Linked DNA regions of Macaca fascicularis. The protein of the gene in region 1 binds, or shares a complex with, the protein of each later gene. Links are inferred from orthologs where the notes say so. Each region holds a gene or a part of one and is shown in the gene's direction. Other genes may lie near its edges. The genes, in order: PRPF6, LSM2, LSM7, LSM6, LSM8, PPIH and TXNL4A.

Region 1 (3,500 bases):
TGGCATGAAATGCAAACTGTTGGCCGGGCGCGGTGGCTCACGCCTGTAATCCCAGCACTTTGGGAGGCCGAGGCGGGCGGATCACGAGGTCAGGAGATCGAGACCATCCTGGCTAACACGGTGAAACCCCGTCTCTGCTAAAAAATACAAAAAATTAGCCGGGCGTGGTGGCAGGCGCATGTAGTCCCGCTACTCCGGAGGCTGAGGCAGGAGAATGGCGTGAACCTGGGAGGCGGAGCTTGCAGTGAGCCGAGATCGCGCCACTGCACTCCAGCCTGGGCAACAGAGCGAGACTCCGCCTCAAAAAAAATAAAATGCAAACTGTTGTTTTATTCTTCCCTTTCCTCTCTTCTCCTCCAGCAATTTGGAGGTCTTAACACACCCTATCCAGGTGGACTAAACACTCCATACCCAGGTGGAATGACACCAGGATTGATGACACCTGGCACCGGTGAGCTGGACATGAGGAAGATTGGCCAAGCCAGGAACACTCTGATGGACATGAGGCTGAGCCAGGTGAGTTTGTCACGCAGCATTTTCCTGTAGACAGGTTTAGATATTTTCATTTTGTTTTGTTTTCTTCTTCTCCTTCTTCTTTTTTTTTTTTGGCTTGATTTTTGCCTGAATAATTCTGCAGATTTTAAAAATTTTTTTAATTTTGAGACAGTCTTGCTCTGTCACCCAGAGGCTGGAGTGCAATGGCATGATCTTGGCTCGCTGCAACCTCCACCTCCCGGGTTCAAGCGATTCTCCTACCTCAGCCTCCTGAGTAGCTGGGATTACAGGTGCACACCACCATACCCGGCTAATTTTTGTATTTTTTGTAGAGACAGGGTTTCACCATGTTGGCCAGGTTGTTCTCAAACTCCTGACCTCAGGTAATCTGTCTGCCTCGGCCTCCCAGAATGCTGGGATTATAGGTGTGAGCCACTGCACCTGGGCTTTTTAAAAAATATAAAATAATGATTTTTTTAGAAATGTGTTTTCTTCCTGCCCCTCAGTAAATTGTCTTGTGGCCCTGCATGGAACGTGTACTTTGATCTGGAGATTGGGTGCTCTAGACACCAGTGAAGTACATATCTTTCTGATATGCACATCAGAAACCGTGAAGGAACATACATACTACTTTTGGCCTGGCCAACATGGTGAAACCCTGTCTCTACTAAAAATACAGAAATTGGCCAAGTGTGGTGGCGGGTGCCTGTAATCCCAGTTACTCGGGAGGCTGAGGCAGGAGAATCGCTTGAACCCGGATGCTGGAAGTTGCAGTGAGCTGAGATTGCACCAGTGCACTCCAGCCTGGGCAACAGAGTGAGACTGTCTCAAAAAAAATAAAAATAAAAAGGGGGGTGCAATCACGACTCACTACATACAGCCTCGACCTCCCTGGGCTGAGGCGATCCTTCCACCTAGCACTTTGAGAGACCGAGGCAGGAGGATTGCTCGAACTCAGGAGTTCAAGACCAGCCTGAGCAACATGGTGATGGTGAGACTCCGTCTCTACAAAAACTAAAAGAAATAGCTGGGCCTGGTGGTGCGTGCCTGTAGTCCCAGCTATTTGGAGGCTGAGGTGGGAGGATTGCTTGAGCCAGGGAGTTTGAGGCTGCAGTGGGCTATGATCGTGCCACTGCACACCAACCTGGATTACAGAGTGAGACTCTCAAAATAAATAAAACTGTCACAGTAATTTTTTTGTGGTAAAATATATGTAACACTGAATTTACCATTTTAATCTTTCTTAACTGTACATACCTTCATTGACATAATTATGTTCATGTTGTTATACAACCTCATCACCATTCATCTCCAGAACTGTTTCATCTTCCCAGATTGAAACTCTGTACCCGTTAAACACTAAGTCCCCATGCCCTTTCTCCCTGGCCCCTGGCATCCACCATTCTTTCTGTTTCTGTAAATTTCGCTACTCTCTGGACCTCATATGACTGCAGTCTTACAGTATTTACCTTATTGTGACGGGCTTATTTCACTTAGCTCATGTCCTTAAGGTTCATCCTTGGTGCAGCGTGTGTCAGCATGTTTTTGTTTTTGTTTTTGAGACACAGTCTCACTCTGTCCCCAGGCTGGAGTTCAATGTCACGGTCTTGGCTCACTGCAACCTCCACCTCCCAGGTTCAAATGATTCTCCTGCCTCAGCTTCCCAAGTAGCTGGAACTATAGGCGTGTGCCACTACGTCTGGCTAATTTTTGTATTTTTAGTAGAGACGGGGTTTCACCATCCTGGCCAGGCTGGTCTCAAACTCCTGACCTTGTGATCCACCCGCCTCGGCCTCCCAAAGTGCTGAGATTACAGGTGTGAGCCACCACACCTGGCCAAAAATTATGTTTTTTTGTAGAGACAGAGTCTTTGGAGGCTGAGGCAGGGGGATTCCTTGAGCCCTGGAACTGGAGGCTGTAGTGAGCTATGATTGCCACTGCACTCCTACTTGGGTGACAGAGTGAGACCTTGTCGCAAAAAAATAAATAAAAATATAGATTTTTTTCCATACAGAAGAAATTTGTTATTATCACAAGGTGTTGTCTGAGTGCGATGAAGGTTGTTTTCTTTCTTCTCCTGACTACTCACCGAGGATTGTGGGAGGGGCTCCAGGGACCCTCTGAGATCTTCGTTTTGCACCTGGTCACATCCAGCTGACTCAGCCTGGCCTGTCTCACAGGTGTCTGACTCCGTGAGTGGACAGACCGTCGTTGACCCCAAAGGCTACCTGACGGATTTAAATTCCATGATCCCGACACACGGAGGGGACATCAAGTGAGTGCTTCGCAGAACCGCTGGGCTGGGATGGAGACTCCAGTTACCTAGGATATTTTGGATTTTATATGGGCAATATGCAGTCAAAATGTGACGTTGTTCTAAGAAATATAAAGTGGAGTAGTTTGGTTTTTCCATTTGAAATGTGTCTGTATCCAGTCATTGCATACACTGAACGTGTTACATGTGATACCGCAAGTCGCTGCCTGTGCTGAGCAGGAAAGCAGCTGGCTGTGTCCCACGTGCCCCATCTGGACCTCGGTTCTCAGCGTTTGTCTCAGGGAGGCTGAACAGGCTTGGAGGAGCGCACACTGACGTTCTGAGTTGTTTTGTGTAACTCGGGACATCAGGACTGATGGTTCTTACATTGCGACTGGGAGGTGGGTGCCTTCCTTCTAGGTCTCGGGTGCACCCCTGACAGCATGGCCTGATGCTGTGTGCACTCTCCCTCTTGTAGTGATATCAAGAAGGCACGACTGCTCCTCAAGTCTGTTCGGGAGACGAACCCTCATCACCCGCCAGCCTGGATTGCGTCAGCCCGCCTGGAAGAAGTCACTGGGAAGCTACAAGTAGCTCGGAACCTTATCATGAAGGGGACAGAGATGTGCCCCAAGGTGAGCTGCGCTGAGGCATTTCCTGGGAGGCTGCATGATTGTGGGCCCCCTATGGGAGTAAACTCCTTAGAACAAATCTCTTTCTTTTGGTATTGAAACTACAGACAGTGGGACAG
Region 2 (4,265 bases), on another chromosome or scaffold:
CCTCCCAAAATGCTGGGATTTACAAGCCTCAACATTTTGTTGTTGTTGTTGTTTTGAGACAAGAGTTTCACTGTTGTTGCCCAGGCTGGAGTACAATGGCACGATCTCCACTCACTGCAACTTATACCTCCCGGGTTTACAGGCGCGTGCCACCACACCTGGCTAATTTTTGGGTTTTTAGTAGAGACAGGATTTCGCCATGTTGGCCAGGCTGGTCTAGAACTCCTGACCTCAGGTGATCCATTTGCCTTGGCCTCCCAAAGTGCGGGATTATAGGCGTCAGCCACTGCGCCCGGTCAATTTTTTTTTTTTTTTTTTTTTTTAAAGACGGAGTCTCTCTCTGTCACCCAGGCTGGAGTGCGGTGGCGGGATCTCAGCTCACTGCAAGCTCCGCCTCCCGGGTTCACGCCATTCTCCTGCCTCAGCCTCCCGAGTAGCTGGGACTACAGGCACCCGCCACCTCGCCCGGCTATTTTTTTGTATTTTTTAGTAGAGACGGGGTTTCACCGTGTTAGCCAGGATGGTCTCGATCTCCTGACCTCGTGATCCGCCCGTCTCGGCCTCCCAAAGTGCTGGGATTACAGGCGTGAGCCACCGCGCCCGGCCAATTTTTTTTTTTTTTTTGAGACGAGTCTCGCTCTGTCGCCCAGGCTGCAGTGCAGTGGCATCATCTTGGCTCCCTGCAACCTCCACCTCCCGGGTTCACGCAATTCTCCTTCCTCAGCCTCCCGAGTAGCTGGGATTACAGGCGCCCGCGACCACGCCTGGCTAATTTTTTTTGTATTTTTAGTGAAGACGGGACTTCACCATGTTGGCTAGCCTGGTCTCGAACTCCTGACCTCACACAATCCATCCACCTTGGCCTCTCAGAGTGCTGGGATTGAAGGCGTGAGCCACCGCCCTCGGCCTTTTTTTTTTTTATCAGCTGAATTTAAGATTAAAAACATTTTTTAATTTTATTTTTTGAATTTTATGTTTTTACTTTAACAAATATAGAAAAGTGCACACTTCATAATCTTCACAAACTCCCCACAATTCTCGATAGGATGTGTGTAGAGGGCACGAACACATCACGCTGTGGACGGCAGGGTTATGGAAAACAAAACCTTTTGAGCTCAGACGCCGAGTGCCTCCACCCGCCTAGCAGCCCAGGCTAGGGTCCGCGCCTGCGCAATGGGAGCCGGCCGGCCCTGGAAGAAGTCGGAACGAAGGAAACCCCGCCCCTTTCCCGGCTTCCTCCTCCCCTCGGTTTTACCCAGCTTGCGCTCCCCAGCCGCAAGTCGGCCGCGCTTTACCCTTCAGCGCTTGGAGGGTTCTGCGTCCCTTCCCGCTGCGCCTGCGCGGTCCCGCCTCGCCCCACGCGCGGGCTCGCGCTTCGGTTCTCCCAGACCTGGTCTCAGCATCCGGCTCTTTTCTCGCTCCGGCCCGCTGCCCGCTGCGCCAGCACCATGGTGGGTACCGTGACGTCAAAAGGGGTCGCCCTCGGGGATCTCGGACGGTTGGGGCAGGGGGGTCTGGCCTTTGTCCCCCTAGGCTGGAGTTAGGTCCGGAGTTTTTATCTTCATCGTTAGTCCTGTTCCTCAAGTTCGTTGAGGAGACACCTGAGAGCAAATGGGATTTTTTTTTCCATGATGAGGAAAAAAACCCCAACCCTGAGAGAGATTCAGTGGGGACAGCGGGAGACGGAAAAGTTAGACCTTAGAGCACTTCTCTGCCAGGCAAGCTTCGGCAGGGTGCGGGTGGGATGTTTTCTGTAATTCATTGAAAGGAGTGGGCAGGTACCCGAGAAAGGTGGTCGATTGAGAGAGCACACTGGGGAGGCCGAGGTATGCAGGGCAGAGCCTCTCTGGGACTTTAAGTGATGGGCTCAATGCAGTGTGCAGAATAATTTGGGCTCCAGCCTTTCACCTCTCAACCAATTATTCTTTCCTGTGAAATTTTGAGAACTGTTAGGGATGCAATGGGGTTCACAATACCGGTATTTGGTAATACTGTCAAGGGACACTCCTCCCTACCATGTTCCTTCCCACATGATGGTTTTCCCCCTCTCTCCCAATAGCTCTTCTATTCTTTTTTCAAGTCCCTTGTGGGCAAGGATGTGGTCGTGGAACTCAAGAATGACCTGAGGTAGGTACCTGTTCCAACAAGTCTGTTGGGGGTGGGTGTGCCCAGGGCCCTGGAACCTCTTTAATTTGAGAAATATTTGAGGGCTGGGTGAGGTGGAATATGTACAGAAGAAATAAATGGCCGGGTGCGGTGGCTCACGCCTGTAATCTCAGCACTTTGGGAGGCTGAGGTGGGCGGATCACGAGGTCAGGAGATCAAGACCATCCTGGCTAACACGGTGAAACCCTGTCTCTACTAAAAATACAAAAAATTAGCCAGGCATGGTGGCAGGCGCCTGTAGTCCCAGCTACTTTGGAGGCTGAGGCAGGAGAATGGCGTGAACCTGGGAGGCAGAGCTTGCAGTGAGCCCAGATCACGCCACTGCACTCCAGCCTGGGTGACAGAGCGAGGCTCTGTCTCAAACAAACAAAAGAAATAAATGGGTGGGGTGCAGTGGCTCACGCCTGTAATCCCAGCACTTTGGGAGACTGAGGAGGGAGGATTGCTTGAGCCCAGGAGTTTGAGGCTGCAGTGAGCAGTGATTACTCCATTGCACTCTAGCCAGGGCAATAGAGCAAGACCCCATCTCTAAGACAAATTTTAAAATTTAACAATAAATAAATGCCTTGTGCCTTAAATTTACAGATAAGCTTGGGGATTGTATTGTGTATTGGAAAACAATACAAAGCAATATACAGTTTAAAGAGTAAATACTGGTCAGGTGTGGTGGCTCATGGGCTGGACGTGTGGCTCATGCCTGTAATCCCAGCACTTTGGGAGGCCGAGGTGGGTGAATCACGAGGTCAGGAGTTCAAGACCAGTCTGGCCAAGATGGTGAAACCCCGTCTCTACTAAAAATACAAAAATTAGCCAGGCATGGTGGCAGGTGCCTGTAATCCCAGCTACTTGGGAGGCTGAGGCAGGAAAATCGCTTGAACCTGGGTGGCAGAGGTTGCAGTGAGCTGAGATTACGCCACTGCACTCCAGCCTGGGTGACAGAGTGAGACTCTGTCTCAAAAAAAATAAATAAAGAGTAAGTACTAGGCTGGCCATGGTGGCTCACACCTGTAATCTCAGCACTTTGGGAGGCTGAGGCAGGAGGATCACTTGAGTCCAGGATGTCGAGACTAGCCTGGGCAACATAGAACCATTTCTATAAAAGATTAGCCAGATGTGGTTTACATGCCTGTAGTCCCAGCTATTCGGGAGACTGAGGTGGGAGGATCACTTGAACCCAGGAGGTCGAGGCTGCAGTGAGCCATGATTGTACCACTTTACTCCAGCCTGGGTGACAGAGGAAGACTGTCTCAAAAAAGAACAGGCCAGGCCAGGCGCAGTGGCTCACGCCTGTAATCCCAGCACTTTCGGAGGCCGAGATGGGCGGATCACGAGGTCAGGAGATTGAGACCATCCTGCCTAACATGGTGAAACCCCGTCTCTACTAAAAATACAAAAAATTAGCCTGGTGTGGTGGCGGGCGCCTGTAGTTCCAGCTACTTGGGAGGCTGAGGCAGGAGAATGGCATGAACCCAGGAGGTGGAGCTTGCAGTGAGCCAAGATGGCACCACTGCACTCCAGCCTGGGCGACCAGAGCGAGACTCCATCTCAAAAAAATAAACAAAAAAACAGAACAGGCCATAGGCTGGGCATGGTGGCTCATGCCTGTAATCCCAGCACTTTGGGAGGCTGAGGTGGGTGGATCACAAGGTCAAGAGATTGAGACCAGCCTGGCCAACATGGTGAAACCTACGTATTAGATATGCTACTGTGTATCTAATACCTAGTATAGGCCAGTTGTATGATAGGTGCTTAAGGAAAGAAAAATAATATCTGAAGACCTATTGACTAAGCACTATTCTGAATACATTTATTGATTGATTTCTCAAACACTCCTTAGTAATATGTACTATTGCTGTTATACATATGAGGAAACTGAGGCTTAGATCAGCTATACCACTTGTTCAAGTCTACAAAACTAGTAAGTGATACAGAACAGAAATATGATTATGTCCAGCTTTTTTCTTTTTCTTTTTTCTTTTTTTTTTTTTGAGATAGTCTCGCTCTGTCGCCCAGGCTGGAATGCAGTGGTGTGATCTCTGCTCACTGTAAGCTCTGCCTCCCGGGTTCATGCCATTCTCCTGCCTCAGCCTCCCCAGCAG
Region 3 (4,244 bases), on another chromosome or scaffold:
AAATGTCTGGGGTCTCTAGGTCCCTGGCCTCAGAATAGGGGGAGTCCAGGGGGCTGACAGGGCAGCTGGGGGTGGAGGTGCGGTTCGCAGAAAGCTTCTGAGGGGGCCCTCCAGCCTTGCAGAGACCACGGGCATTTCAGGGTAAGAGAAAAGACTAGACAACGAAGCTCCTGCAATGAGCTGCAGGCTTCCCTGGCGCCAGGTCACAACTGGACGGCACGTTCATCCAGATGCGACATGGACTGACATACTTTGAAAGGGTCACTCCTGCTGTGTCGAGGATGGACTAGGGATGTGGGGGACAAAGGCAGCCACAGCAGGGGGATGGCGGTGGGGCTGGAAGAGTGGAGACTAAGAAGGAGCCCAGTGGCAGCGACGCCTTAAGAGAACTCTGAGAGAGGAGTGAAGGTTAAGGGCCGCATTTGTGAGGCTGCTCCGGGTTCCATTCCCTGAGCCACCAAACTCAGGTAAGAGGTAAGATTTGGAATTAAGAAAATAAAAGATGCAGTTACGACAGTGCCATCTCGTAGACTGTCCCCGCTAGAACCTGACACTCTACATCAAAGGATACACAATGAATATAAGGAAGGCGTGCTGTCCCTAGGCGCTGGTCACCCTGGGTAGCATCTCCAGAATCCACACCATAGTCGACCCCCCTTCTCCAGACGAGCAACTGACGCTCAAAGCAGGGAATTCCCTCGTCCAAGGTCACGGAGTAAAAGATGGAGCGGGAATACGACCCCAGTGCAGGGCTGGGCTCTTGGCCGCTCCAGGATGCTGGCCAGTCACTGGGGGACACGCGGGACGCCTCTGGGTTCCCCCACCGCACCCCCTAGGGTGAGGTTAGCTTAGCACCGGGCCATTCCGCCTAAAGGGAAACTGAGGCTCGGAGCGGGGTGGGCGGCCGCCTGCCCAAGGCCACAGAGCGGGAGAGAGGCGTCCCCCGCGGCGGCTGGAGACCCCGAAACGGACAAGCAGAACAGGGAGATGGAGGGGGCACAAACTTCAGGCCCGGTGGGAAGTGAGGGGCGCTGCAGCGGCGGAGGGCCTCCGAGGCGGGGAAGGGAGAGAAGCCGGGGACAGCCCCGCAAGGTCACGGCCGGGCCCCGGCACCGCCGGCCGACAACGAGGGGACCGCGGATCCCCGAGGCTGGACCCCCAAGACGGGCCAAGAGGGGTCGTTCCTGCGCGTAGCCTCGGGGCCGAGAGGCCGAAGGGCCGCAGCCTGCGGTGCCGTCGGGACCGGTGCCGCGCTCACCTGGGCCGCGAGGAGCAGAAAGGCCGCCACAAGCCGCGCCAGCGCAGCCGCCGCCACCGCCGCCATCTCGGCCGGTGCCCGCCGCAACCGTCGGCAGATGTTTCCCAGCAACGCCCCGAGACCCCGGGCCACGCATGCGCCGCGCATGCGCGTGGGGGGGAGGGGAGAGGTCACAGGGCACGGGGCGGTGTCTGCGAAGAGCCTCACGGCGCGACAAGATGGCGGTGAGCGCGCGGCAGAATCCGGAGCCGGGGGGCGTGGGGCTCGGGCCGCGCTCCAGGCCTCATGCGCTCTGCTTTCCCCGCAGGATAAGGAGAAGAAGAAAAAGGAGAGCATCTTGGACTTGTCCAAGTACATCGACAAGACGATCCGGGTGAAGTTTCAGGGAGGACGCGAAGGTGAGGCGGCTCCCGCCGTTGGCACCCCCCCTTTAAAATTTTAAAATAAAGTCAGCAACAGAGGTGATGAGGATGCATGCAGAGGCGCCTCTTTTATTTATTTTTATTTATGTATTTATTTTGAGACGCAGTCTCGCTCCGTCGCCCAGTCTGGAGTGCAAGTGGTGCGATCTCAGCTCACTGCAACCTCCGCCTCCCGGGTTCAAGCGATTCTCCTGCCTCAGCCTCCTGCGTGGCTGGGGCTACAGGCGCCACCACTCCTGGCTAATTTTTGTATTTCTAGTAGAGACGGGGTTTCACCATGTTGGCCAGGCTGGTCTCAAGCTTCTGACCTCAAGTGATTCGCCCGTCTCGGCCTCCCAAAGTGCTGGGATGACAGGCGTGAGCCGCCGCAGAGGCGCCTCTTTACACGCTTGACGCCGACTACCTTGTGCAGGCTTCCGAATTACGCCGGGAGGTAGGAACTGGTATGGCCATGTTGCAGGCGGGGAAACTGGGGCAAGGAGCGGGAAACAAACGTAATCCAAAGTCACAGTGGCGCAGCCGGTATTGGGATTTCCGGCTTGGCCTCCAGAGCAGTCCTGTGTGTCCAAGGACTGCCCCAGATCCCCACAGATCTCCCGGCTTCTCCTCTTCCTCCCTCTAAGTCAAGGTCTTTCCCGCACAGCAGTGTGGACACATTTGGGGCCGGATTCTCTGGAGTGGGGCCGTCCTGGGGCACTGCAGGGTGCTGAGCAGCATCCCTGGCCTCCACCAAGTTGTGACAACCTAAATAGCCTCAGACATTGCTTAGTGTTCTCTGGGGATAGGATCGCCCCCCGACCCCCAAGCTGTGATTGGGAATCACAGCTACTAAGGTCAGTCTCCACTCAGCGGCCAGAGGCACCTAATGAAAAAGAAATGGAGGCTTCTTGCTCCCTGCTGAAAACCTCTGAGGCTCCCGGTTGTTTTGGAGTAAAATCCGAATCCATACTTCTGATTATGACTGCAAAGGGCGGCAGAAGCACAAGTTCCACAGGTGCTTGCTCTGGGAAGCCCTCCCTGACCCTGGCGTCAGGCCCCCCATCGTTCTAGGATCCTGGTAGCACCTGTCACCGTTTGCGGTTTCGTGCATGTTAACCTGATGCTTGCCTCTGCCTGCAACTCTTCCATGGAATCTAGTGAAGACAGGGCGAGCTCTCAGAGGGCAGGAAGCATTCGCATGGGCAGTGGGCTGGTGATGCATGCTGCAGCTCTTGGCGGGACGCAGGGACTCACGCCTGTAACCCCAGCACTTTGGGAGGCTGAGGCAGGCGGATCATATGATCAGGAGATCGAGACCAGCCTGACCAACATGGGGTTTCGTGAAACCCCATCTCTACGAAAAATACAAAAAAATTAGCTGGGCGTGGTGGTGCACACCTGTAATCCCAACAACTCAGGAGGCTGAGGCAGGAGAATCTCTTGAACCCAGGAGGCAGAGGTTGCAGTGAGCTGAGATCGCGCCACTGCACTCCAGTCTGGGAGACAGAGCGAGACTCCGTCTAAAAATAAATAAATCACACACACGCACACACACAGCAGAGAAAGGGTTTGCTCCCTGAAGGACTCACCTGATATGGTCAGGCTCACCCAGGGTGTTTCCCTCTAGATTGGCTCAAAGTCAGCTGGTTCAGGGGCTTAAACAGCTGCATAACCTAAGTGCAGGAGTGACGTCATGTCCCCTCAGAGTCACAGGCCCGAGCCCACACCCCGGGGAGGGGAACCTTGGTTAGAGACCTACCTACCTCAGTGCTCACATCTGTCCCTGTGAGGAGGGCTGGCTCACTGGTCAGGCTGGTGCCAAGGACCTGAACCGTTGCGTCTGACCCCATCTCATAGGTGACAGGTTTCATTTTGCAGGGGAGGGACTTGAGCGCAGAGAGAGGGAGCCGTGGAGGTAGGAGCTAAAGCCTGTATGCAGGTGGGCAGACCTTCTCTGTAGAAGGCCAGACAGCAAATATCTTCAGCTTTGCAGCCCAGATGGTCTCTTGTCACAACCAGTGAGCTATGCCCGCAGAGCAGGAGAGCCGCCCTGGTCAGTGCCTGAGCGGGCGAGTGTGCTGGTGGGCCAGTGAAACTTTGGCATACAGAGATGAGCGGTGGGCCACTTTCGCCTCTGGTCGTAGTTCGCAGCGCAGAACGGCCATGGACAGGCTCACAGCCCTGCCTTGGGAGAAGATAGGCGGGCAGAATAATGCCTGGGGTGCCTGCTTCCTGAGATTGGTGGGGGGCATGCAGAGGGCAGCACCCTAAGGGGTGTGGGTTGGTGTCTGGAGGAAGCACCTGAAAGATGACAGGGGTAAGAAGGAGGGTAGGGAGCGGGTGGCTGAGGGACGCCCCTCAGTGAGCGCAGAGGCGGAACCGCTCCTGGGCCTGGGCTGGAGGAGCCTGGGGGGAGAGGACGGGAGTCCCGGACAGGGAGGGTGGGCTGGCCTCTGCTGAGGACACACAGCTCCCCCTTCATCCTTCTCAGTGTCACCAGACACTGCGGAGCAGGATCAGATGGCAGAGGTCACCACCGGGTCAGAGAGCCCTAACCCAAGGTGCCAAGTTGTGACCTAAGGCGG
Region 4 (2,556 bases), on another chromosome or scaffold:
TTAGCTTTTTTTCATCTTTTCCAGTCTAATCGGCAACAAGTAATATCTCATTCTACATATATTTTATTTGTTTACTAGTGAGATTCAGCAGTCTTTCACATGGATAGTAACCATAATTTTTTTTCCTCTTATGAATGTCTGTTTGTGGCCTTTATACGATTAAAACAAAATGTTCTATACTATTAGATAGCCTTACTAAAAGAACGTGCTTATTTTGTGGTTTACAAAACACCAAAAAAAAAAAAAACCCAAAACAAAACACAACATACAAGAAAAACCTCCAACTCTCTGTAGCAGTTTCTGTGTAAGAAAATGTCTTGTTTTGGTTATGTATAGGAGGTTATCTCATGGAGAAGGAAACGGTTATATTTCTAACCCCCTGGGCAGTTTTTTTTGTTTGTTTGTTTTTTGTTTTGTTTTTTGTTTTTTGCCTTTGCTGTGAGAACAGATACTTTAATTAGAAGTGAACTTTTTTTTTTTCTTTTTTTTTTTGAGACCAAGTCTCACTCTGTCACCCAGGCTGGAGTACAGTGGCTCAGTCTTGGCTCACTGCAGCCTCTGCCTCCCAAGTTCAAATGATTCTTCTGCCTCAGCCTCCCGAGTGGCTAGTGTTACAGGCACCCGCCACCACGCCCGACTAATGTTTGTATTTTTAGTAGAGACGGGGTTTCGCCATGTTAGCCAGGCTGATCTTGAACTCCTGACCTCAAGTGATCTGCCTGCCTCTGTGTCCCAAAGTACTGGGATTACAGGCGTGAGCCACTGTGCCCAGCCTGGACATTTCATTTTGAAATTCTTTTCATTAGTTTTCGAACAGGTTTGCATATTGTGCCTCAGAAGTTTCTTGCTCATTTATAATTGTGGCTTATATGTAAAATAATACAGCAGGAAATGAGCTAAAGTTATAGCTTAAGCTTTCTTTGGCTAGGAAATAATTTTATTATTCACAGTCCATTCTGGTTCTTTGAGAGTTTACCGCTTTTAGCAGAATTCTGGTAGATTAATGTCTTATGCTGTCATTACACACACAATTTTGAAAGGAAACTTTTTTGTTTAGAGGATAATGGGGGCAGAGGCAGAGAGTGAGGAGCATATTAATGAAGTTAAGACATCAAATGAGAAACTTATAGACTCGACTAATTGAATCTAGTATTTGTTTTTACTTAAATTTTTTTTTCTAGAAAATACCACTTGAAATTAGAGACAGAGTTAGAGGCTTGCAGATTTTCATCTTTTGAAAAAGATCATTAGGTCAAATTTTACAAAATTTATACCATCTTAACACAATTAAAGATTCACTCAAACTGTTTCCTTGAAAGCTCCCTCAAATGTTTTTGGCCATTTTCTCTATTAGTTTTGATTGGAAAATATTATAGCTGTAACAAAACAGAACAAGATGTGTTATAATGCAATATGTTGCCCTATATTCTCAAGCTGCTCTTCACTGTGAGTCACAGCTTTAAGATGTTCTTTCGGGAGCACCTGCTGTCTCCTCTTCTATTATTTTAACAGATTGTGGAGACTTCCTTTTAACCCTGGAGTACATTCATCTGCTGCAATAGATGTTGTAAAAGGATGAAATAAATCTGCCAGACCCGTATTTCACTTAGTGGCTGAAGTAGGAAATGCCACTGGAACCAAGGATCATTTGTTCATGCATAATTGCCCACCTTGTGCTTAGCTTTCACAGAATGGTATTTTTGTTGGATTAGTCTTATTCTCTTACTTTTTTGAATGCTTTAAAAGTTGCTATGTGGTCATACATACCGTGAGGGAAGTGACAGTTTGTTGTTTTACTGGGTAGTAGTGGGTGCGTGACTGCCTTCCTAGTCTTCATTCAGATTGGCCTAGAGTTGTTTTGTGCTTAAGCTGTTGAGTTTCATTTAGGGTATGAATTTTTTTATTAAGCATCTAAGAGCTAATGAATAAAGAGATTGTCTGCTCTAAGGTATACCCTGTAATTTTCAACTCCTACTTGCCTTGTATTTCTTCTTTTTGACTAAATATGTCTACAGGGGTCCTGGCTTGCTTGGATGGCTACATGAATATAGCCCTGGAGCAGACAGAAGAATATGTAAATGGACAACTGAAGAATAAGTATGGGGATGCATTTATCCGAGGAAACAATGGTAACATTTCTTCACCCTACAGTACAGCATTCATTCAAAATAAGCCTTTCTGTTTATAATCCAGATCACCAAAGAGTTTACTAGATAATTTAAAAGTCCAGTTTTAGGCTTGATTATTTTAAAATGCTTATATGTCAGTTTGACCAGTTATTTTTTTAGATACATCATGGAATTTTTAAACTAAAATTCCCTCCTTCCCTTCCTTTAGTGATGAGGAACTGGGGGCATTGTTCTCCTGACCCGGAACCCTGCTCTCTTGAATATAGTGTATTATTATCTCCCCAACACATATTCCTGCTTCTTGTAGCCTGGAAGTTGCAGCTGTAAGAATGGGCACCATTTCCCTGCTGTCTTTAATTTGCATAATTTGGCAGTTTGTCCTATTTGTCCCTTCTCTATTAAACATTCAGATGCTTTCTGTGCAGAT
Region 5 (4,077 bases), on another chromosome or scaffold:
GGTTTTGATTCAACTCCTAACATTTGCAAATCACACAATTATCTTTGTTCTTTCATTTGTGGAAGACACTTTCATTTGTTACCCTGAGAATATGAGACATTCACAATCTAATTCCTGACTACATTTGATTTCAAACAGATCGGAATAACTTCCAGAATATAAAATTTTAACTATTTGGGAGTCATCTTGTAGGTATCTTGTGGGTATGCTCTAATTAAGAAATGCTTCCTTTTCCCAGGAAAACTGCTGACATTGCAAGAGTTATTCCAAAGCCACAATTCTTAAGAAAATACATGTTTAACCTAAATCATAAAGATATTTTGTAAAAAAGGGAAATCGCTCCTGCTGATGTTTTGTGTATAAATCTCTTTCTAACTTCAAGCTCTCTCAAGTTAGGGCAACACAGTAAATAAAGTGGGAACAGTATCACATTGGGAAATATCTGAAATGATACCTATGGCACTATAAGGAAACTGAGGCCCAGAAGAATTGAAGTGACCTGTGCAATGACACCAATACGTTAGCAGAGCCAAGATTAGAACCAAGTTTGGTGCCTTCCTGCATCAGTCCTTTCTTGGTGCTGAAGGAGCCTTTTATTTATTAATTTCACCCTGGAGAATTCCGGCAGACCATCCCGGCGTGGTAGAAGCGTGAACATTCGTTTTCTAAGGGATGGTCACACACCTTTTTCTATTTGCATTTAGTTTCTTTAAAAAGTAAAAACACCTCCATTTTGGACCACTTTTAGAGACAAAAGCAGAACATACGAACGTGCATTTCATTGTTGAGTTCTTAAGACGCTTACACCGTGTGGTTATAACGTGCGCAACTTTGTCCCGGCCAACTGGACTTATTTTTAGTGTTATTTTCGGCTCCTGCTGCAGAAAACTAGGGATTCAACTACCCGCACCCGCATTTCACACAACAGCGCTCGTCTACTCTCCTCCTTCACTCCTAATAAAAAACGCCTTATCCTGTTTCTTCCTGCCTGCTCTACCTCAACATTTTCACTTATTATCTTCCACCACACTGGGTTTTACTCGGATTGGAAACCCACTCTCCCCCAACTTCTCTCTCGTACCCCACCTTCGGGAAGCGTCCTCCTTTTTTCCGCCTCTCGTTCCCTTTGTCTTACACGGCTTCCGGAACACGGCCCAGAATTACAGCGAAAACACACTGCGCACGCGCACTCTCTCGTCAGAGCGGCGCTGCTTCTGTTTGGTTGGCTAGTTCGTCCCAATTTCCGAGTCAAAGGGCTGCGGAGCAGCAACTCTCACGATATTTGCGGCGGCCCGCAGACGCGAACCGCTGCCGAGTTCTGGCGCGCCCTTTCAGTTCTGCTTGTGGCCGGCACCACTGCGTTATCCGGAACTGCCGGTCCGAGCAGCATGACGTCCGCCTTGGAGAACTACATCAACCGTATCCTCAAGCTGGCCGCCGCGGGCGTGAGCCGGGGCCGCGGAGAGACCGCCGCTCGGGGATCGGTGGGAAGTTGGGAGGCCCGGCCGCGGCGGGATCCTGGGGGCGGGCGAGATGAGGACCCCGGAATGACCCAGAGTTCGGCGGCGGCGCCTAGAGCCTGCCAGCTGCTGCGGGCCCAGGGGTCCTTTCCATTTTGTCTACAAAAGCCAAATAAAAACCCAGTGTGATTTTTCCGAACTTTTCTGTCTTAAAAAAAATTACGCTCTTGATTCTTCCTTACTATTTCCCTAGGGCATAAGTGTTCAAGTTTGTAAATAAGATTAACAGTCGTCCTGGCTGCGACAACAGTTTTGCAAATCTGTGTACTTGTTTTATTCACATAATATGCTCATTAGTTCGAGGATAGCAGAAAGTTTAACGATGGTTCACAGACTGTTTCTGTCCCTTTACCACTTGAAGACCCTACCTGGTGGTGGAATGAAAAAAATGCTTGCTGTTGTAATGGATTATAGTGAGGAGCAAGTAACAACCCCACGGGAAGTCTTAAAATAGACTTTACAAGTGTTACCGTTTTAAAGTCTCAGAACAAAAACACTATGTTAAGTTCAGGTACAAACTGGGTGACAAAAATTAAATACCGAATGCTTTTAATGTTACAGGCATTGTTAGTACCTTGTGACACTGATTATATAGTTTATTTACTTTTGAATTACAGAAGCCTGCCCCGGAAGACAGTTTTTTAACATGCTTGAAAATCGTCCAACATCGATGAATTTAGTACTCATCCAGTTTTCATTTTAGATATAAACAGGCCCAAGAAACGAAATATCCTGTCCGAAATAATAGATTGGCAGCATTCCTAGTAGAAAAGTGTCAAAAATCCAGGATATTTTGAGATAGGATACACCGATCACATACAGAAAGAGGTTTTCTTTTCTATTTTTTCCTTTTTTTAGTCATGTAATTATCACAAAACTAAAACAAGCTTTTAAAAAATTTTTTTTCTTTCTTTTTTTGAGTCGAGGGTCTCACTGTGTTGCCCAGGCTGGAGTGCAGTGGCTTGATCATGGCTCAATGCAACCTTGAACTCCTGAGCTCAAGCTATCCTCCTGCCTCTGCCTCTGTCTCCTGAGTAGCTGGGACTATAGGTCACCAGGCCAGGGTAGTAGAGATGGGGGGGGTCTCACTGTGTTTCCCAAGCTAGTCTCACCTCAAGTGATCCTCCTGCCTTGGCGTCCCAAAATCTTTCAACGTTTTTATGTAGTGAACTTAGTGGCTGTGTTGAACACTTTTACCTAATTGTCATATTTGTTCTAATAATTTAAATCATTACCTTGCCAGAGTCTGTTTTCAATTTGCATTCCCTAAGAAACACTTTCCTTTATTCAGTTATCAGGAACTGTTGCCGTTATTACATCTGATGGGAGGATGATTGTGGTAAGTCTTCGGAATTTTCATTCTCTGCTTTCCTGTAGGTTTATTGGTTGCAAGTTTTATGTGAAACCTCTGATCTCTAATGCCTAGACAGCACATTACACCTGTAGTGCAGTTTTATTATAATTCAGCTCTTTATCACTTTGCTGTCAATCCACGTTTTCCTCACTCATAAACGTGGCGTGTTACCTACAAGGCTTCTAGGAGCTAGAGTTATAGATTCTGCCCTCAGAGAGCTCCTAGTCTGCAGACCTTCATTAAACTTACTTTTCTTCTTCCATTTTTATTTCCTTCCTCATTCGGCACCACATGAATCAGAATTTTTTGAAATTTTGCATATGCTTAGTAACTTTTTAATGATTTAGATACTATTAATATCTACATATCAACATTTAAGGCTTGTATACAATCTTAACATTCTTTGTTTTTAGGTTGTGTGACATGTCTTCTGTAGGACACATTATGATGATTGACTCTCTCTATATACACATATTTACGTAAAATTGGCTTGTTCCTTGAAGTTGTTTCTCCCTTGCTAATTTATGTCATATAACAAAGATAAAACGTTCCTATGGTGATACTTGTATTTGGAATTTGATCTGAGGAATTCATCTCAAGATTTTTGGGCACTTGATTATTTCTTCACTTATAATTCCTACTCCAAATGCTTTCAAAAGAATTTTAAGGCTACTAAACTTTTCTAACCCTACCTAGTTTCTTTAAATAATTTGATCCCTTATTTTTCCATTCTGCAGTTTTGCTTTCGTTTGTTCTTAGTGACTATTGTTAGTCAAAGTTCTAGCTTTGCCATTTACTAAATTTATATCGTGTGCCAGGTGCATATGTGTTACATTAATTAATGTACATACAACCTTGTGAAGAATAAGTACCCCTGTATTCTAGATTAGGAAACAAGTTCAGAGAAGGTGACTCACTTTCTCAGAGTCACAAGGGTAGCAGGTGACAGAACCAAACTGGGATTTAAATTTGGTTTGACATCAAAGCCAAGGCCAGTTGCCTGGCTTCTTTCTTAAGGAAGCAATCATGTTTTCTTAGGCACCTCACATTGTATTTTTTCAAATGTGGACAGTTTGACATATTTTAACCTCAACACTTCAAGAAGCCTATTGCTATTAATAGATGTTTGCATTATTTTTTATTTAGTGAAAACCTTACGTTTAAATTTTCTTATTTTTGTTAACAGGATAATAAACTGGGAAA
Region 6 (4,137 bases), on another chromosome or scaffold:
TTTTTATATGTAATTCTTGCTTCCTCCGACGACAGAGCTAGAAAAGATGATCAAAGGACCTAGGAAATAATAACTATTATATTAAATGCATGCTGTTATAGCTAATGAGTCTTGCCCAAGTTCCCCTTCTTTCACTAAATTCATTGAATCTATTATATTTACCTACTATGTGCTATTCAGTAGGAGACATTGCAGCTACAGCTGCGAACAGGACTGAGAGAGTCTCTACTTTCATGGAGTTTATATGCTATTAGGGAGGAAGATGTATGTGTGTGTGGCAGGAAATGAGGTGCAGACACATACCATACAAATGTGAAATGGGGGGTGGCATGAAGAAAACAAACCAGTGATCTGAGTGACCAAGGGCTACTTTAGATTAGGTCTAATGTTGCCTCTGAGGAGGTAACATCTGGGGTGAGCCTTGAACTACAAGGAGCATTACTTCCCACACACATAGCCCAACCAAACCCCACCATCACCCCGCCAACCCACATTAAGATCTGGAAGGAATATTTCAGACAGAAGAAACAGCTATTACAAGGCCTTAAAGAAAGGAGGGATCTCAGTGACCTGGAGGAGCAGACAGGTCAGAGCACAGTAACTAAGGGCAAGTGGTACAAGATGAGGTCAGGTAGGTAATAGCCAGATTAATGCACTGGAGGGCTTCCTATGTACAGAATTGGATTTTATTCTAAATATAGGAAGCCAGGAGTTATTTTAAAAATAAATAGGAATCACAAGAGGTATTTTAAAAATAAAAAATAAAAAACTCTAGTTACTCTGTGGGAAACGAATTGGAAATGACCAAACTGGGAGCTTGTGGCAGAACGGAAACCTAATCTATTGTCCTGACTTAGAGGAAGGGACAAATATTTACTTAGCAAGCCTTTACGTGCCAAGCTGTTCTAAACGCTGAGGATGAACAAACCAGAGTTCCTGCCTTCACGGTGTTCACAGACTAGCGGGCAGAAGACAGACACAGCACGTGTGGCGGTGTAGAGGGCTTGGTTCCAAGAGCCGATAAGGAGGACCCTGGCGACTGCCTAGTCCAAAAGCCCTAGCTAGAGCAAGATCAACTTGTACTGCCCTTAGTACAGCCACGTGAGTGGGGTGACCATCGACCTTAACCAAAAAGATGTCAAGGCTTTCCTCCTCCTCACTCCCGCGTCCCCCGTCTCAGGGAGAGTCTCCCAGCTAGACCCCAGCAGCCTCAGCACACACGGCACGGGGCGACAGCTTCCGGGGGCGGGGCCCGGTCTCTCTCTGCGTCCACCGCGCCTGCTCCCCGGACGAAACCCGCGGACAGGGCTTTAGGTTCGCCGGAATCCCATGCTCCCGACTTCTGCTTCCGGGTCGGAGCCATGGCGGTGGCAAATTCAAGTCCTGTTAACCCCGTGGTGTTCTTTGATGTCAGCATTGGCGGTCAGGTGAGATCCAGGACGCTACCCACACCTGCGCCGAAGGGAAACTGCTCGGGGCTAGCTAGGCAGGCAGAACTCACTCAGAGAGAGCGGACTCGGGAAGCCAGCCAGAAAGCGAAATTGCACCCGAACCTACCGACCTGCAGGGCGGGGAGAAATGAGGAGAAGTCTCCCCAATCCTAGCGCCCCGCTTCTGGAGGAACTGGGTGGTTAGACCAGAGAGGCGGAGGTGGGTGATACCGAGCGGCAGGGTGGTGGGTCAGCCCATCCTGCCCCCAGCTCCGTGAAGCCCTCATGGTCTTGGACTGGGCCTTCTGACAGTCTCCCGCTGATTGCAGGAAGTTGGCCGCATGAAGATCGAGCTCTTTGCAGACGTTGTGCCTAAGACGGCCGAGAACTTTAGGTAAGGACGTGCTCCAGTTCCGCTGGATTAGCTAAGGCAGAAGTCGGGCTCTAGTCAGCCGCCTGAATAGCCTGTCTACCTCTGTCCGTCCGCTCACTGCTCTTGAGACCTGATTCCTCCGTGCTTTGCTCTGTCTGGTTGCCGTTTGGATTGTTCCCGTGTTAATTTACGTTGTTAGTCTGTACGTCTCCGTGTTTGGACGTCTGGCTGGCGGATTGGTGGACTTGCTGGCTCCATTGTTTATTCTTTCCCGTCTTTAGAGGCGGTCACGACTGTGATGTCATAGTGATTGAATTGTTCACTTTTTGTCCCTTTCAGGCAGTTCTGCACCGGAGAATTCAGGTCAGTTTCAGATGTGTTTGACTTCTTTGCCTGCTCCAGAAGGGTGTTCTGGGGCTGCGGTGAGGGTATCGGTGAACCAGCTGCTGGCCTTGAATGATTGCTGGTGACAGTGATAGAAGGTAATGCCCCAAGGGTCTGTCCCTAGTTTATTTGCCTTCTTTATGTCTGTCAACCATCTTTAGGAGAGTCCTTTTGGCTCCAGTGCATGGTAAACTGGAAAGGCCTTGTGCTACCTGCTATCACTCCAAGTCTCTTTCTTTTTGTTATAGAAAAGATGGGGTTCCAATAGGATACAAAGGAAGCACCTTCCACAGGTAAGGCTTTTGGCAAGCCATCCTAGAGTCTTTCAGAAATATTTCCTGGGGGATTAGGCTCTTTAGAGGAAAATAAAACCAGAGGTAATTCTTACATTTCTTGAGAAGAAATGTTTTTGTGGACTCAATAACTGAAGATTTATTAAATATTCTAACTCTACTTATACTCTCCCACTTCTTATGTCTTTAAAACAGAAACTACTCATCTTTACAATATCCTGTCTTTTTCATGCACTTGTTTGTGCAAATGCAGATTTTTAAAGAAGTACACTTGTAATCCTAAAGTGCATATAATATATCCTGCTGGTTGCTATTTATAACTAATTCCTAAAATGATCATATATGATTGTCCAAGGATAATCATATTTCCTGGGGAGTGGAGTATGGCAACACTTAGTCTCATTTCAATATAGAATCTTTCTCATGGCCTCACTGTGGTTAGTAACAATGTTAGCACATAATTATATCACAGCTTTAGAACTGTGGGTCTCTAATCCCCAGTAAGACTCCTGTGAAGTGGTATGTGTGATCTGCATTCTACAGAGGAGGAAACTGAGGATAACAAAGGTTAAGGACCCTCCCTAGGGGTAATAGCTAACAATTGTTAAGCCCTTACATGTGTAGCAGTACCTTTCACATAAATTCTCTGTAGTTCTTTCCCCCAAATTTACATCAAATCCTTGATCTGCCTTTTGCTTTGGCAAGTAATGTGGTCATTCTTCCTGCAGGCTTTCAGCCCCTTCTTCTTGTTACTGTTCAGGTACCAGATCATGCACTTGATCAACTCTAACATGCCCTAATTTATAACTAAAATCCTTTTTTATGGTTAATTATCCTTTCAGCTTAATCATTCCAGGAAAAGAATAATCTTCTTTTTTTGTTGTTTTGGTTTTTGGTTTTTGGTTTTTTTTTGAGACAGAGTCCCGCTCTGTCACCCAGGCTAGAGTGCAGTGGCATGATCTTGGCTCACTGCAACCTCCGCCTTCTGGGTTCAAGCAATTCTTTTGCCTCAGCCTCCCAAGTAGCCGGGAATACAGGCATGTGCCACCACGACTGGCTAATTTTTGTATTTTTAGTAGAGATGGGGTTTTGCCATGTTGGCCAGGCTGGTCTCAAACTCCTGGCCTCATGTGATCTGCCTGCCTCGGCCTCCCAAACTGCTGGGATTACAGGCGTGAGTCACCGCACCCAGCTAAGAATGGTGATTTTATAATAGCCAAAGTTATAGTGTATTTTGAAATCAATGTTAATCTAATACAATAATAACAAAGTCTCCATAAAATCTTCTCTCAGTATTCTTTGCTCTCTGTTTCAGGGTCATAAAGGATTTCATGATTCAGGGTGGAGATTTTGTTAATGTAAGTACTATTCCTTTTCTATCAAAGACCTGTAGTTTTAGTTTTTATTATTGTTGCAATTGCTGTTTTTACTACAGAGACCCAGTCTTAAGGCTTGAGAACAATAGCCAGGTTTGATGGGGGTGTTGGAGAGAATGGTGATGGGGAAGTTCTTGAAAGTGGCTAGGTACAACTGACTGTAGATAACAGACTTTAGCACTTTGATTGAGGCATTAACTTCCATGGTCCAAATCTCAGCCTTTTTGAGCCAGAAATTGGACTTTTTAAGAATACCCTGTAGATGATCTATGATAGGTTCA
Region 7 (4,120 bases), on another chromosome or scaffold:
TAATTTTTTGTATTTTTAGTAGAGACGGGGTTTCACCATGTTGGTCAGACTGGTCTTAAACTCCCAACCACAGGCGATCCACCGGCCTCGGCTTCCCAAAGTGCCGGGATTACAGGCCTGAGCCACCGCGCCCCGGCATGATTTGTTGTCAATTTGTCATCCAAAGGACCACAAGGATGGCTGGATAGCAGACAAGAGTTTTACTGTCAATGTCAGTTTGCAAACCAGGGGGAGTCTCTAACATGAACCCAAAGTGCTCTCTCAGAAGAACAGAGATTAGAGGTTTTATTTTAAAAAGAGAAATATTATTTCTCTTGGAGAAAGTTCATAGGCACCAGTAAGGGTCTGGGGAGCTCTGACTGGGGAGCGAAGCCGGGGGAGCCAGATCAGTCCTGGAGGTGCAAGTTATGCTGAAGCTATGCAATAAAACTGGCTTCAGGTCGGGCGCGGTGGCTTCCTCCAGTAATTTCAGCGCTTTGGGAGGCCGAAGCGGGCGGATCACTTGAGGTCAGGGGTTCGAAACCAGCCTGGCCAACATGGTTAAACCCCGTCTCTACTAAGTACAAAAAAACTAGCCGGGCTGGCGCCTGTAGTCCCAGCTTACGGGGAGGCTGAGGCAGGAGAAGCGCTTGAACCCGGGAGGCGGGGGCTGCAGTGGGCCGAGATCACGCCACTGCACTCCAGCCTGCGCGACAGAACGAGACAACGTCTCAAAAAAAATTTTTTTTCTTTATAAAAAGACAAAAACTCTGGTTTCGGGTTACAACAGGCAGCTCAGCAGCCGGCCTGACGGTGACATTCCTCAAGGACGGCCTGCCCAGTGCTTCCCCCCACCCCGCTGCTCGGCTCTGCCGTGGCTGGGTATGGCAACAACGACACATTTTTATGGTCAAGTTTCACAAATGACACACACGAACCGTCTCGCTAACACACAGCACAAACGATGACCCGAAACAGACACCGGAAAGGAAAAAAACGAGCCGCAGTGCCGGGCATGCCGGGCCTTTCTGAAGACGTCCCCATCCGTGGCTGGAGGACAGCCCGGGCGGCGGCGGGCGGCCTCGGGGCGGGTGCGTCGGGGCAGGGCACGGCGAGCCCGGGGCTTCTCAGGACCACCAGGCCGCCTGGACGCTGGGGAGGAACCCCCACTCCGACGCCGGCTAGGAGGGCACCAACCGCGCTCCACCGTGGCCAGGTCGCCGCCGCTCCCGCCGGCCAACGACAAGTTAGCGCGGCGTCTGTACGCGCGTGACGTCAGCACGCACGGCGCCAGCCCGTGCGCATGACGTCAGCACGCACGGCGTCGGTGCGTGCGCGCCCAGAGGTTCCGCCCGGCGGCAGTGCCAGCGGAGCTTGCGGGTGCGGGTGGGACCGGGTTTCGGCTGTGGGCCCGGGGGCGGCGGGGGCCGCGGAGTGAGGGGCCGGCTGAGCCCACCACCTCGCTGGGCCCTCCCTGGCGCCCGGCCTCGGGCGGCGGCGAGCGCGCGGGTCGCCATGTCGTACATGCTCCCGCACCTGCACAACGGCTGGCAGGTGGACCAGGCCATTCTCTCCGAGGAGGACCGCGTGGTCGTCATCCGCTTCGGCCACGACTGGGACCCCACCTGCATGAAGATGGACGAGGTCCTATACAGCATCGCCGAGAAGGTAGCGCGCCGGGCCCTCCCGCCCTGCTGGCTGTGCTTCCGCAGCGGCCCCGCGCCTCTGCCCCGCCGGCCTCGCCTGGGGGCGCGAGCCGTTCCCCGAGGAGGGGCCGCGGCGCGGTCGTCCGGGCGATTCCTTCCCGCGCTGCGGGCGAGCGCTCTCGGGGACTGTGCCGGCGTTTCGCGCCTTTTTCTGCAGGGAGGTCCTGTAGTTGTTCACGTTTTAAAGGGTTTATGATCCCCCTCCCCTCGAAGGAATTCATTATTTCTGTTGGTAAGGCGTTTTTCCCAATCTTACAGTGCAGTGAACAAAGTAACACTTGCAGATTTTGAGAGCGCAGATCCTTAATTTAAAAGGATGCCCTTTTTTGGTGCCTTGTTTGTTTGTTGTATGTGTAAAGCAGAACTTTCATGTTAATAGCATAAGAAATCCTGTTTTTCTGTTGTTGTTTTCTCCCACCGCGCTTTTTGTAAGTCATGTGATTTATAGCTTAGAGTGATTAAGATGCAGAAAACATCGGGAGAAAATAGAACTATGCTTTGTTGGAACTAGTTTTCTGAATTTCTAATATTAGTACATTGAGTGGCCTTGGCACTTACTTGCTGACAATAAAAGTTGTGGGACACTATTTTATAACCAGGTTTCATTCTTTTTCTGTGGTTCCTCACAGCAATTTTAGGATGGCGTTTATTTAGGTTTTGCAGCTGTAGCAATAGGGCAAAGGGCACAAATACTAGGGTGTTAATAAAATATTTGCCATATTAATTTTCCGTAAGTAATTTGAGCGGTTATTCATTTTGATGAAGAGTAAAAGTAACATTGAAGCTATCTTTTCTTTCACAGATGCTAAAGTAGGCTGGGTTAAAATAACTCCTTTGAGTAAAGAGTAACAGATATAAAGACATTTTATATTGAGGAAAGGAAAGACTGTCTGGCCTGCCATTTATTAATTCTTGCTATTTCTTATTTAGTAGGAGAGGCGTGATGTTAGGAACTGTTGTTATATTTTAGTTATTACAAGAATCTCTTGGAGTGCTTACTAAAATGCATCTGTGATTCTGAGTCTATGGGTGTGGGGTGAAGTCCAGCAATGGCTTTTTAAAGAAGCCCCTCAGGGAATTCTGATGTGACCTGACCTTGAACCACACACTCAGAAACCCTTCCATGGGGGTCAGGGACAGAGGCGGAGTGCTTTATTACCAGCCATCTCCCAGCCTCTTCCTCTTGGACAGCAGGACACTGAGGACTTGAGGAGCTGCCTAGGGAATCAGGAGAGCAGCAGTTCTCTCACACTGGGGCTTCTGCCAGCCAGGGATTAGAGATGATGAGTGAGGCAGTGCCAGCACATCAGCTTTTCATTGCTTGACTTGTAGTGGACAAGGGCAGATACTGGAAATCCAGCGAAGAATTGACGAAGAGCAGTTTCCCAATAAGTAAATCACTGCTTGTAAATCACTGACTTTGAGTTACGAGTTCTAGAATCTTTCACTGTTCTACCTTGCAGATGGTGGCATAAACATCAGCTGGTGTTCAGATCCTGCTGCCGGCAGCTCGAGGCTAGGATGGCTGGCGATGTGAGGGCCTTTGTCTCATCACATCCAGGCAGAGCTCAGCAAGATGCTCTTAGCTAGGAAACAGATTTTATGTGTTAATGTAAGTGTTAGGGTCTTTGCCAGATTTGCTCTTTTTTTCCAATTCCTTTATGTCCGATTTCTTTGTTATTACAGAATGAATCACTGTATCACTAGTGGACACACACTTAAGGACAGTTGAAATGGGCTCACTTTGGGGTATTTTTTTTTTTTTTTTGGTCTTTTAAAATAGTTTGATTTTTGTTTCTGTCCAAAAATTTGGATTGCTTTATTAATAAACTTTTAATGCAAATATTATAGTATAATTATTAAAAGCGCAAACCTAGGCCAGGCACGGTGGTTCATATCTGTAATCCCAGCACTTTGGTTGGGAGGCTAGTGTAGGCAGATCACTTGAGCCCAGGAATTCGAGACCAGCCTGGACAATATGGTGAAACCCGTTCTCTACTAAAAGTACAAATGCCAGACGTGGTGGCACATGCCTGTAGTCCCAGCTACTTGGGAGGCTGAGGTGGGAGAATCACCTGAGCCCGGGAAGTCAAGGCTGCAGTGAGCCATGATTATACCACTGAACTCCAGCCTGGGCAACAGGAGTGAGACCCTGTCTCCAAAAATAAGTGCAAACCTGAAATGCATTAAAAGACTATTCGTGTTTTATTTTCTTCTTAGTATATGGGCAAAATATGACTTTCTAATTCTGGAAGCTCTTTTGGGGAAACTCAACAGAAATTTTTGAAATGTAAGATTTTAGTATAAAGAACAATATAACTATTTAAAAATTTCCCTGTGCAGAAATGGCAGATAATGGAGAATCTTCCTTATCTTGTTATGAGTCCTGTCGATGTCCCAGCTGTTTTAAAGTGAGTAACAGTTGCAGATGTTCG

Evidence for each region.
Region 2: PRPF6 (region 1) and LSM2 share a complex: the UniProt entries of both Homo sapiens proteins name them as parts of the U4/U6-U5 tri-snRNP complex. The link is inferred for Macaca fascicularis from reciprocal best matches to the Homo sapiens genes PRPF6 and LSM2.
Region 3: PRPF6 (region 1) and LSM7 share a complex: the UniProt entries of both Homo sapiens proteins name them as parts of the U4/U6-U5 tri-snRNP complex. The link is inferred for Macaca fascicularis from reciprocal best matches to the Homo sapiens genes PRPF6 and LSM7.
Region 4: PRPF6 (region 1) and LSM6 share a complex: the UniProt entries of both Homo sapiens proteins name them as parts of the U4/U6-U5 tri-snRNP complex. The link is inferred for Macaca fascicularis from reciprocal best matches to the Homo sapiens genes PRPF6 and LSM6.
Region 5: PRPF6 (region 1) and LSM8 share a complex: the UniProt entries of both Homo sapiens proteins name them as parts of the U4/U6-U5 tri-snRNP complex. The link is inferred for Macaca fascicularis from reciprocal best matches to the Homo sapiens genes PRPF6 and LSM8.
Region 6: PRPF6 (region 1) and PPIH share a complex: the UniProt entries of both Homo sapiens proteins name them as parts of the U4/U6-U5 tri-snRNP complex. The link is inferred for Macaca fascicularis from reciprocal best matches to the Homo sapiens genes PRPF6 and PPIH.
Region 7: PRPF6 (region 1) and TXNL4A share a complex: the UniProt entries of both Homo sapiens proteins name them as parts of the U4/U6-U5 tri-snRNP complex. The link is inferred for Macaca fascicularis from reciprocal best matches to the Homo sapiens genes PRPF6 and TXNL4A.

Annotation. Positions count from the first base shown.
Region 1 is NC_088384.1:120,135,527-120,139,026, forward strand, and holds part of PRPF6 (pre-mRNA-processing factor 6), read left to right. Parts: intron 1-360; coding exon 361-516; intron 517-2,675; coding exon 2,676-2,770; intron 2,771-3,227; coding exon 3,228-3,384; intron 3,385-3,500. UniProt on the Homo sapiens protein: Involved in pre-mRNA splicing as component of the U4/U6-U5 tri-snRNP complex, one of the building blocks of the spliceosome.
Region 2 is NC_088378.1:139,906,118-139,910,382, forward strand, and holds the start of LSM2 (U6 snRNA-associated Sm-like protein LSm2), read left to right. Parts: upstream 1-1,465; 5' UTR 1,466-1,628; coding exon 1,629-1,718; intron 1,719-2,059; coding exon 2,060-2,127; intron 2,128-4,265. UniProt on the Homo sapiens protein: Plays a role in pre-mRNA splicing as component of the U4/U6-U5 tri-snRNP complex that is involved in spliceosome assembly, and as component of the precatalytic spliceosome (spliceosome B complex).
Region 3 is NC_088393.1:2,988,140-2,992,383, reverse strand, and holds the start of LSM7 (U6 snRNA-associated Sm-like protein LSm7), read left to right. Parts: upstream 1-1,444; 5' UTR 1,445-1,476; coding exon 1,477-1,482; intron 1,483-1,565; coding exon 1,566-1,656; intron 1,657-4,244. Other genes in the region: SPPL2B (signal peptide peptidase-like 2B), read right to left, coding at 1,259-1,324. UniProt on the Homo sapiens protein: Plays a role in pre-mRNA splicing as component of the U4/U6-U5 tri-snRNP complex that is involved in spliceosome assembly, and as component of the precatalytic spliceosome (spliceosome B complex).
Region 4 is NC_088379.1:151,041,508-151,044,063, forward strand, and holds part of LSM6 (U6 snRNA-associated Sm-like protein LSm6), read left to right. Parts: intron 1-2,015; coding exon 2,016-2,129; intron 2,130-2,556. UniProt on the Homo sapiens protein: Plays a role in pre-mRNA splicing as component of the U4/U6-U5 tri-snRNP complex that is involved in spliceosome assembly, and as component of the precatalytic spliceosome (spliceosome B complex).
Region 5 is NC_088377.1:159,620,838-159,624,914, forward strand, and holds the start of LSM8 (LSM8 homolog, U6 small nuclear RNA associated), read left to right. Parts: upstream 1-1,277; 5' UTR 1,278-1,388; coding exon 1,389-1,419; intron 1,420-2,818; coding exon 2,819-2,859; intron 2,860-4,077. UniProt on the Homo sapiens protein: Plays a role in pre-mRNA splicing as component of the U4/U6-U5 tri-snRNP complex that is involved in spliceosome assembly, and as component of the precatalytic spliceosome (spliceosome B complex).
Region 6 is NC_088375.1:192,210,766-192,214,902, reverse strand, and holds the start of PPIH (peptidyl-prolyl cis-trans isomerase H), read left to right. Parts: upstream 1-1,337; 5' UTR 1,338-1,361; coding exon 1,362-1,427; intron 1,428-1,759; coding exon 1,760-1,824; intron 1,825-2,142; coding exon 2,143-2,166; intron 2,167-2,435; coding exon 2,436-2,480; intron 2,481-3,795; coding exon 3,796-3,838; intron 3,839-4,137. UniProt on the Homo sapiens protein: PPIase that catalyzes the cis-trans isomerization of proline imidic peptide bonds in oligopeptides and may therefore assist protein folding. Participates in pre-mRNA splicing.
Region 7 is NC_088392.1:1,012,524-1,016,643, forward strand, and holds the start of TXNL4A (thioredoxin-like protein 4A), read left to right. Parts: upstream 1-1,320; 5' UTR 1,321-1,494; coding exon 1,495-1,647; exon of another isoform or gene 1,648-1,917; intron 1,918-3,224; exon of another isoform or gene 3,225-3,261; coding exon of another isoform or gene 3,262-3,297; intron 3,298-4,028; exon of another isoform or gene 4,029-4,030; coding exon of another isoform or gene 4,031-4,096; intron 4,097-4,120. UniProt on the Homo sapiens protein: Plays a role in pre-mRNA splicing as component of the U5 snRNP and U4/U6-U5 tri-snRNP complexes that are involved in spliceosome assembly, and as component of the precatalytic spliceosome (spliceosome B complex).